Canis lupus familiaris: one gene and its partner. The protein of the gene in region 2 interacts with the protein of the main gene of each other region in a pairwise test. Links are inferred from orthologs where the notes say so. Each region holds a gene or a part of one and is shown on either strand. Other genes may lie near its edges.

Region 1 (4,525 bases), on a different chromosome or scaffold from region 2:
TCGTCCTGGGAGCCAGGAGGAAGGGCACTGATGGGCAGGTGGGCAGAGGGAGGGAAGGGGGCCCCTGGCCCTCACGGCCAGAGGCCACCAGTAGGGCCCGCCCTGCAGAGGAGGCACAGAGTTCTGTCCATGCGGCCCCCCACCCTGCCCCCGGGCCTGGGCGGCTGAGGTTCTGGGCAGGAAGGCTCCCTACGGCCCCCAGCACAGCCCAGGCTGGCGTCCGGGTAAGGGAGTGGGATGCCGTCGGGGGGTGGGGGGGTGGGGGGGGACCAAGGCACTGATTGCCCAGAATTCACAGACGTGACAGTTACGGGCCAGGTACAGAGGTGCCGCTGAGACTACAGGACGGCTAAGTTCAGGAGCCACGTCACTGTCCTGGACAAACCCAGGAAGCGCCCCTGGAGGGGGCGGAGGGCTCCTGCCACCATTCAGTCCTGCGTCTAATACGCCGAGTGGGCCCTGGGCCAACCATAGGCAGCCGGCAGCCCCCACAGCTCAGGGCAGGGCCCCTGCCCATCTGCGGCTGGGTCCCGAGCACCCATCTGCGCCACTCCTGACACTCAGGATTTCTGCGTCTGGGGAGAGCCCTGCATGGGGGGGGGGGGGGGCAGCAGCATGTGCACCCTCCTGGCGAGGGCGCTGGGCGTTGGGGGCATACCCTGCCCCCCGGGAGGGGCAGAGCCAGTGCAAAGCCCCAGCCCCTGTACAGGCGTCACTTTGGGTCTCTGGGTCTCACCGATGGCTCAGAGAAATGGCTTGCGGTCCCAGGACACAGCGCAGGAGACACACAGCCAGGGCACGAGGACGCCCTGCTAGCAGAGGGTGGTGATGGGGGGCAGGGAGGAGGCAGGAGGCCTGTAGACCAGGACGGGGGGCTCCCCAGCTGGAGGTGGCACAGGCCTCTTCCCAGGGCCGCACGGCCGGAGTTGAGGCAACAGCCCTCCGGCTGCAGGTGGGGCGCAGACTGCTGCCCCCCGCCCCCCGTGTTCCTTCCCTGTTTCAGTGTGGCCGAGACTGGGAGGAAAGTCCCCGAGGCGGAGAGGAAGTGAGAGCGCGGCCGGCCGGCAGAGGGGAGGCCGAGCTGAGCGTGGCTTTGCACGGCGGCGTCTATATTTGCACGCTGAGCTCACTGCTGCTCTTTTCCTCCCAGAAAATCAAATTACATCATGGTGGGGGGAGGCCGGCGGGCGGGACATCTGGGGAAGGTGAGAGGGACACGCGGGCATCACCCCGGGGGAGGGCCCAGGTGGAGGGGAGGGGGCCGCCGCCGCGCTGCCGCGGCCGCTCGGGGGATCCGGGGCCTCGGCCTCCGCCGTCGCCTCCCCCGGTGCCCGCGCGCGAGGACGGAGAGGACGAGGCCCGCAGCGGGGTCCGCTCCCCCCCGCCCCCGCAGGCCCCGCCCCCGCAGGCCCCGCCCCGCCGCGCAGGCCCCGCCCCCCGCAGGCCCCGCCCCGGTGACGTCAGCGGCCGGCCGGGCGGGGCGCGCGCGGGGCTGGGGCTCGGGCTCGGGCTCGGGCTCGGCGGGCGGAAGCGGCGGCGGCGGCGGCAGGAGCGGCGGGAGCCGAGCGGAGGCTCCGGACGCTGCCCAGGACCGGGACGCCGGAGACCGCGCCCTGAGCGCTCAGCCCGAGGCGGTGAGGGCGGGGGCCGGGGGGCCGGGGGGCGGGGGGCGGGGGCGGGGGCCGGGGAGCGGGGGTCGGGGCCGGGGTCGGGGCATCGGGCCCGGGGCGCGGGCGGGGCGGGAGCCGACCGGACACACACCTACGGGAGCCCGCGGCACGCGCCGACACACGCCCATGTGACTCGTGCACACACCGCTTCGCACGCAGCAAATCACAGCGGTCCCCGCGCTACGCACCCCCTCCCCCACGGCCTCCATGTGCCCGGCCCCGGGCGACCCGCTGCGGGACGGGCGGGGGGCGGGTCCTGCGGTGCCCCCGGGCGGGATCCGGGGCTGCGATCCGGGGCGGGATCCGGGATCCGGGGCTGCGGTCCGGGGCCCGGGGCCGCGCAGGGCGCTGTGCTGGGCCCGCCGGGCGCCCGGGGCCCCGGAGCGGCCGCTGTCTGCGCCCCGGGGCGGCGGAAGGCCGGAGGAGGGGGCGGGAGAGAGAGAAGGAGCATGAGTCAGCCGAGGATGGAGCCCGAGTCGGGGGGAGAGAACGAGGGGAATGTGCGCGAGGGACGGGGACGCGGCCGGCGGCGGGCGGCGGGGGGAGGGCGCGCCCCGGAGCTCGCGCTGGGAAACGGCTGAATCTGTGGGTTTTGTGTCTGGGTGAGTGGCCCCCGGGCCGTCAGAGCGATTAGCTGTAGCTGCTCTTCCCTTTGTGGCCAAGCGCCGCGTCGGGGACGGTGCCAGAGCCCCCGAGGCCGCCAGAGCCCCCGCGGCCTGCTTGCTCGGCCGCACTGCCCTGGGTGCCCTGCCCTGGGTGCCCTCCCTGGGTGCCCACCCCAGCACCCTTGGGGAAGGCCGAGGCCATGCCTCCTAGGCAGACCCTCAGCACCACCTGGGCACAGCCAACCCGCTCAGGCTCCTCCCCACCACAGTGATGATCCCTGTACAGCTGGGAATCTCACTCCTTCCTGATGGGTGTTGGGGTAGGGGCCCCGAGTGTTCAGACACGGACACTGGGGCACAGGCCCCCCCCCCCAAGTCCTCAGTATTCAGGGCCAGCACCACGTGACATGGGATGGAAGCCCACCGGAGGGAGAGGAGGGGGGGAGGAGCTGGATGCAGGGGAGAGACAGGGAGGAGACACAGCAGCAGGCGAGGCCCTCCCCTCCCCCCTCCCCCGTCCCCCCCACACCAGGAGGCAGCCCCCCCCCATCGCACACTCCATGCCCCCACCTGGGTCAAGTCCCACAGGCTCGGCCCAGTGTCCGTGCCCAGGGCTAAGCCTCTTGCTCTCAGGCCACGCTGAACCGTTCGAGGCCCCAGGACCCATCTCCCCTCTGGCGGCTGAGTCTTAGAGCCCCCCGCTTTTGTCACAGGGTGAGGCTGAACGGAAGCTACGGGCAGAGGTCCACGACGTGTGACACTCAGGATAATGAGGGGCGAACGAGGGGCCCAGGTGGAAACTGAAGTGGGCCCCATGGGCCCCCCTCCTTGCCTGCCGCCCCTCCCCCAGGCTGGGGCCTCCCTCCCGGCTCCTGGGACACACCCCCACCCGCCACCCAGGCCACCTGGTCCACCCGCCCCCGCCCGCAGGCCACAGGTAGCCAGCAGGGGGGCAGTGGCTCCTGAGCCTCGGGCTTTCTTCCCAAGTCGACTGGGGGTTTGGAAGGCACCGCTAGGGATGATCCAGAAGTGCTGTCGGGACGCCCGGCCTTCTCGGGGTGCTGCGCCCCCCGCGGTGGTGTCCCCTTGGCCCGCCGCCCCCAGCGCTCCCCGAGCCCCAGCCGGCCCGCTCTGGCTCCCGCCCGAGGACCAGCAAGCAGATCCCTGCCCCTCCTCCCCTGCGTCCCCAGCGGGTCCCACGTCCGTGGGGCTCCACCTGGGCAGCTGGGGGGCGGCGGAAGGAAGGAAGGAAGGAAGGTAGGTGCGAGGAAGCAGGGAGCAGAGCGCAGAATGATCGGGAGGGAAGGGGACGGACTTCCTGGCAGCGGCCGGGCCGGTTCCTGCCCGGTATCCTGTCCCAAGAAGGGCCTCCGCCCAGGCTGCCGGGTGATCCCGGGAGGGGAGGGGACTCGCCGGGAGGAAGGTGACGGTGACCGGCCCGGGCGCAGCCCGCCGCGGTCGCACCAGCCGGGACGAGCGCTGGGCAGTGCGACCTGAGGGCCGCGTGAGGAGGTGCACCTCCCTGCACCCCAGGATTCCCCAGGGGACCGGCAGTGGCCCTGCGGCCGCCAGCCGCCTCCCCGCCCCCTCCCCACGGCCGGCCCTCCTCACTCACCACTCCCCGCCCCCTCCCGTCCAGTGGTGTCATTGTCCTGAGCGCTGGGGGGCACCCAGAACCGAGGTTGCCATGGCAGCCGCTGAGTCCCGGGCCGCCCCCCAGGGTCTGTCCTTTGCCGCCTCCTGGCCGTTCCCAGGCCTGCCTCCATTCCGCAGGGTCTCCTCCGCCGTCCCCTCCCCTCTGGACGTGGGCCTGTGCCTGCAGACCTTCCTCACGCTCTTCACACACACGCACGCCCGGGGCTGACACGTGCACATCCGTGCCCTGACCATGCACCCCTCCCCCGCACCTGTGCCCCCCCCCCCGCCGGGCCCCACATCCACTGCAGGGTCCCACCCCCGTGCGCCCCCCCCACCCCGCTCCTGGGGCCTCCTGGAGTCCGCTGCTGCCCGCGCCCCCGGCCATGGGTGCCGTGGGTGGCTTGCTCACCACCCTGAGCCCGGCCCGCCCACCTCCCCTGGAAGTCTGTGCTGTAGGATCGGAGCCCGGAGCCTTAACTCTTTCCAGAGATTCGCACACACTTTCCTTCCGCGGGATCTAGTTACAGCCTCTTCTTCCACGAGAAAACGGGACAGGATGCTCCTCAGCGCTGTCCTGCTTTCCCCTGAGGGCTTGGTCCCAGGGTCTCCCTG
Region 2 (4,308 bases):
AACCATAAAACCAGGCCTGGCACAGGGACAGCTGTGTCCCGAACACAATGACTCAGACCAACTGGGAGTTTAAAGAGCCATATCTCATGTGCTGAGTCCTCCAGCACCAATGTTTAGTGAACACCTGGAGGGCAGAAGAAATTGCCACACCCAGCAGCCAGCTTGGCCAAAACCGCTTCCAGTTACTAAAAGGGTGCCACGACCTGAGCTCAAGCATCCTCCAGATACAAGCCCCCGCAGGGCTCAGGGAGACAGAAGTACTTAAGTTCTGTGCAAGATATTAGGGACGGAAACTACCAGTAACAGTAACTGCCTCCTGGATTCCTCCCCTCTTGATAGGTAAACTTCAAAATACCCCTTATATACAGATTTCAGCAGCTCACCAGCTTATCCTTTAATAGGAACTCAGCAGATCTCTCCTGAGGGAGCTAAGATGTACTAAACACCAACTGGCTGTGGCTTCTCACCTTTCCTCCTTAAAAGCGCATTTCCGTAAAGCTGTGGGAAGGAGCTATTCTACGCATTGTAGTTTTCATGAGAAACCTAAAACCTGCAGCACAGTCACCGGCATCAGGGCATCACCATGTTTTGAAAACCCTACAAGGCAGATGACATGTCTTCTGCGGATGGACAGTGGTGATGAGAACCTAACAATGAAAAAGCGCTTCGGGGGACTGAGCTGTAGGCTTACAGGCGGTCAAGATGGCAAATTTTGTTACCTTTTTGCCACAATAAAAATTAAAGAGCTTAACCTCTGTAAGACTTGAAGGTAAATGAATTTCGTGATATATTTTGATTAAGAAACGCACACTGGGGAACCAGACAACTTCCAGGAAGCAGAGTCTCCCCCCACCTAGTTTGAAGTGAGTCAACAAACCTCCATGGGCCCTACACAGCCCTTGTCACTGCGGTGAACAGGGACACACGCGGTAAGGGCGCGTCCTCCTCCAGGCCTGGACTACTGTGCACTTTACAGGACTGCGAGCGGCAGTGGCTCCTGGAGGGCCGGATCGGAGCTCACACGTTTAGCGGAAAGGTCCCCAAACAACATTTAAAGGCTACACACAAATTGTGTGTGTAGCTCACAAAACGTCTAATATGGAAAGAGGCCTTTATCCCAACAGGCGGGGTGTGAACCTGGGGTGTGAGCGGCTCCAGCCGCGGAGGCCCTTCACCCCTAGGCTGTCCCTTCCGGCCTAACTGCCTCTCGCTGCATCGCGCTCGCGGGGTACCTGGTCCCCGGGGCCCTCGGGAGGTCGCGGCGGGGGCAGGGGGGCCGGGAGGGCCCGGACCAGGGCACCGGCTCGCTCGGGCGGCCCGGACCGCGCAGGGCGGCGGCAAAGGGCCCCGGATCGGGCGGCACCGCGCGGCGGGGACACGCACACCCGCCCTCTCCCTGCGCCCGGCCCACACCCCGCGTCCCCGCCCTCCCCCTCCCCCTCCCCGGCCGGTGGCACCGGGCGCCCCGACCCGCACCGGCCCGGGGCAGCAGCCTCGCCCCCGCCACCCTCCTCCGGAGACCCCGAGACCCGCAGCAGCCTCGCCCCCCCCCGGAGTCCCTGCAGCTCCCCGCCCCCCCAGGAGCCCCCAGCACCCCCCCAGTCCCCCAAGCGCCCCGCCCCCTAGGAGCCCCCAGCACCCCCCCGGAGTCCCCCCAGCGCCCCGCCCCCCAGGAGCCCCCAGCACCCCCCCCAGTCCCCCCAGCGCCCCGCCCCCCAGGAGCCCCCAGCACCCCCCGAGTCCCCCAAGCGCCCCGCCCCCTAGGAGCCCCCAGCACCCCCCGAGTCCCCCAAGCGCCCCGCCCCCTAGGAGCCCCCAGCACCCCCCCAGTCCCCCCAGCGCCCCGCCCCCCAGGAGCCCCCAGCACCTCCCCCGAAGTCCCCCCAGCGCCCCGCCCCCTAGGAGCCCCCCAGCGCCCCGCCCCCAGCCCGCCCCCCCGGAGTCCCCCCAGCGCCCCGCCCCCCAGGAGCCCCCAGCACCTCCCCCGGAGTCCCCCCAGCGCCCCGCCCCCTAGGAGCCCCCAGCACCCCCCCGAGCCCGCCCCCCCGGAGCCCCCCAGCGCCCCGCGCCCCGGAGCCCCCCGCCCCCCAGCTCCCCTCCCCCAGCCCCCGCAGCGGCCGCCGGGGAGAAGCGCGCTCCAAGCGCGGCGGCGGCGCCAGGACGGGCCCGAGGGCGCGCACCGGGGCCGCGGGGAGGCTGGTCCCTCGGGGCCGCGGCGGCCGAGGCCGAGGGGGGCGGGAGCGGCCGGCTGCCCGGGGCGGGACGGAGGGACGGCGGGACGGAGGGACGGAGCGCGGGCGGCGGGAAGCAGGTCCTACCTGCGGGGCAGGCGGGCGGGGCACCTGCGCGCTGCGGCGGCTCCGGGCCGGGCCCCTGGCACCGCTGGCCGAGGGGGGCGGGGGGGGCAGGAGGGGGCGGGGGGGGCCGCGCTGCGCTCCCGCCGGAACTCGCGGCCGCCTTGGCCGGACAGGGGTGGGGCGAGGCGGTGCCGGCCGGGGCGCAGGGCGCAGGGCGGGGGGGGGGCCCTGGGGCAGCGGCCCGGCCTCGCTCCTCCCTCTCCCGGTCCCTCGGGGCCGGCCCGGGTGTCGCCCAGCCGCGCGGACGCAGGCTCCTCGGCGGGCCCTACGCTGACTGCTCGCGGGGACCCCAAGCCCCCGGCCCCGGCGCAGCCACGTTGCAGGAGGGACCCGCGGGCCGACAGGTGTCCTAACTTGGGGCGACGCGGCCAAGAGGTGGAGCCGCCGCCCCACGTCCCCTGCGAGCCTCCGTCCCACCTGCTCGCCGGGTGCTACTGTTCACCTGGGGCGAGGCCACGGGGCCGGGGCGAGGGGCGAGCAGCCTGCAGCCTGCAGCCCACCCGGAGACGACGCCCTGCGAGCTCTTGAACACTCGAGATCTTAGCAGGGAAGGAGGAGTCGGGAGTAAAGCACGGAAACTTGGCATCGGGCCCCTGCAGCGCTTCAGTGCAGCAAGCTCCGTGCCCTTGGGGCCGCCCACAACGGTCTAGGAGAAAGGGAACCTGTTGCCTCGGGCCGACGGGAGGCCTCGGGGTCCGGCTCGCTGCCCCCTCCCCGGGGCCGAGGCCCAGGCCCAGGCCGCCGCCCCTCCGCCTGCGCCCACGTGCCCGCGACGATGCCCCTTGGAAGCCCCCAGTGGACACTGCCCGGCGGAGGCGGGCTGAGTTGCATAATGTCTTACTGCAAACGTGGAACTACATGAAACGAAAAATAGAATATTCCAGCCCAGGGGAGGGGGAGGGGGAGGGGAGGGGGAGTGAAATCGCAGTCTGGAACTCTTTTTTTTTTTTCCCCTGTAACCTATAGTTGCTCATCCCTCCCAAGACTACATTTTTTTCTCTTGAGCGCATCTTTTCCTAATGATAGGAGAGTCACACAGCCGTCCCTGCTTCCTTGTTGACAGAAATGATTGATGTCTTTAAAAAAAAAAAAAAATCCTCGGATACTGACAGGTTTTTACAATTAAGCACATGGCCCTCCGCGCGCAGTATTGCCTAAGAAGAGTTTGGCAAGGGTAAGACCAGCATGTTGCTAAAAGGCTGAAGAGCCTTTCCTCCTCTTCTTTCTCAAGTTTTATTAGTCACAGATGATTTGGTAAGTGTTCCGCACACAATCAACTGCGCTCTTCCAAGCTTGTCTTTAGAAACTGTGATGCTCCTGATAGAGAAGCAGCAGCCTCCAGGATGGCATCCCAAATGCCTAAGTGTCATCATTAAAACATTTGGCACTAACCTGAGACAACAGGTCTTTCTAGTAACTATAATTAAAAATAAAATTATTTAAGTCCCCTCGCAGTAATTGAATTTCTGCTTCTTCTTGCTAGAGGAATCATAGTAACAGTCCGCTATGGAGTGCCGAAGACAAATTTTAGATACAGTATGATTCTGGATGTAATTATTTCTGTTTTCCTGAGGGGATTTGTTGGTTGTTGCTGGTGTTTTTCCCGAATCTTGCCTGTCTTCAGACATGTCAAGAAAAAACTGACGATGAAATCCTATCATATATCCATCTGGATACGCATATGACATTTTTATCAGGCAAATGATATTCTAAATCCTCTCTAATTTTCATCTTTTCTTCTCAGGGTAAAAGTAACATATGTCCATGTTTATGATTTCTACCTTTATATTTTACAAAAATACAAAGTTTGGGAGGAAACAGAAAACAATATTTTTGTATTAAAATTACTTATAACCCCCCAACCTACTCATCGTTAACAGTACGGTATATTCCTTTTTTTGTTTGCCTTATATGTAAACAAATGTTTATTACAAAATTGACAGCATGCTCT

What was found.
Region 1: the proteins of PLD1 (region 2) and PEA15 interact in a two-hybrid assay, tested with the Homo sapiens proteins (2 studies listed by BioGRID). The link is inferred for Canis lupus familiaris from reciprocal best matches to the Homo sapiens genes PLD1 and PEA15.

What each region holds. Positions count from the first base shown.
Region 1 is NC_049259.1:22,833,595-22,838,119, reverse strand, and holds the start of PEA15 (astrocytic phosphoprotein PEA-15), read left to right. Parts: upstream 1-1,460; 5' UTR 1,461-1,634; intron 1,635-2,216; exon of another isoform or gene 2,217-2,272; intron 2,273-4,525. UniProt on the Homo sapiens protein: Blocks Ras-mediated inhibition of integrin activation and modulates the ERK MAP kinase cascade. Inhibits RPS6KA3 activities by retaining it in the cytoplasm. Inhibits both TNFRSF6- and TNFRSF1A-mediated CASP8 activity and apoptosis.
Region 2 is NC_049255.1:36,367,959-36,372,266, forward strand, and holds the start of PLD1 (phospholipase D1), read right to left. Parts: upstream 2,823-4,308; 5' UTR 2,800-2,822; intron 2,371-2,799; exon of another isoform or gene 2,319-2,370; intron 1-2,318. UniProt on the Homo sapiens protein: Function as phospholipase selective for phosphatidylcholine. Implicated as a critical step in numerous cellular pathways, including signal transduction, membrane trafficking, and the regulation of mitosis.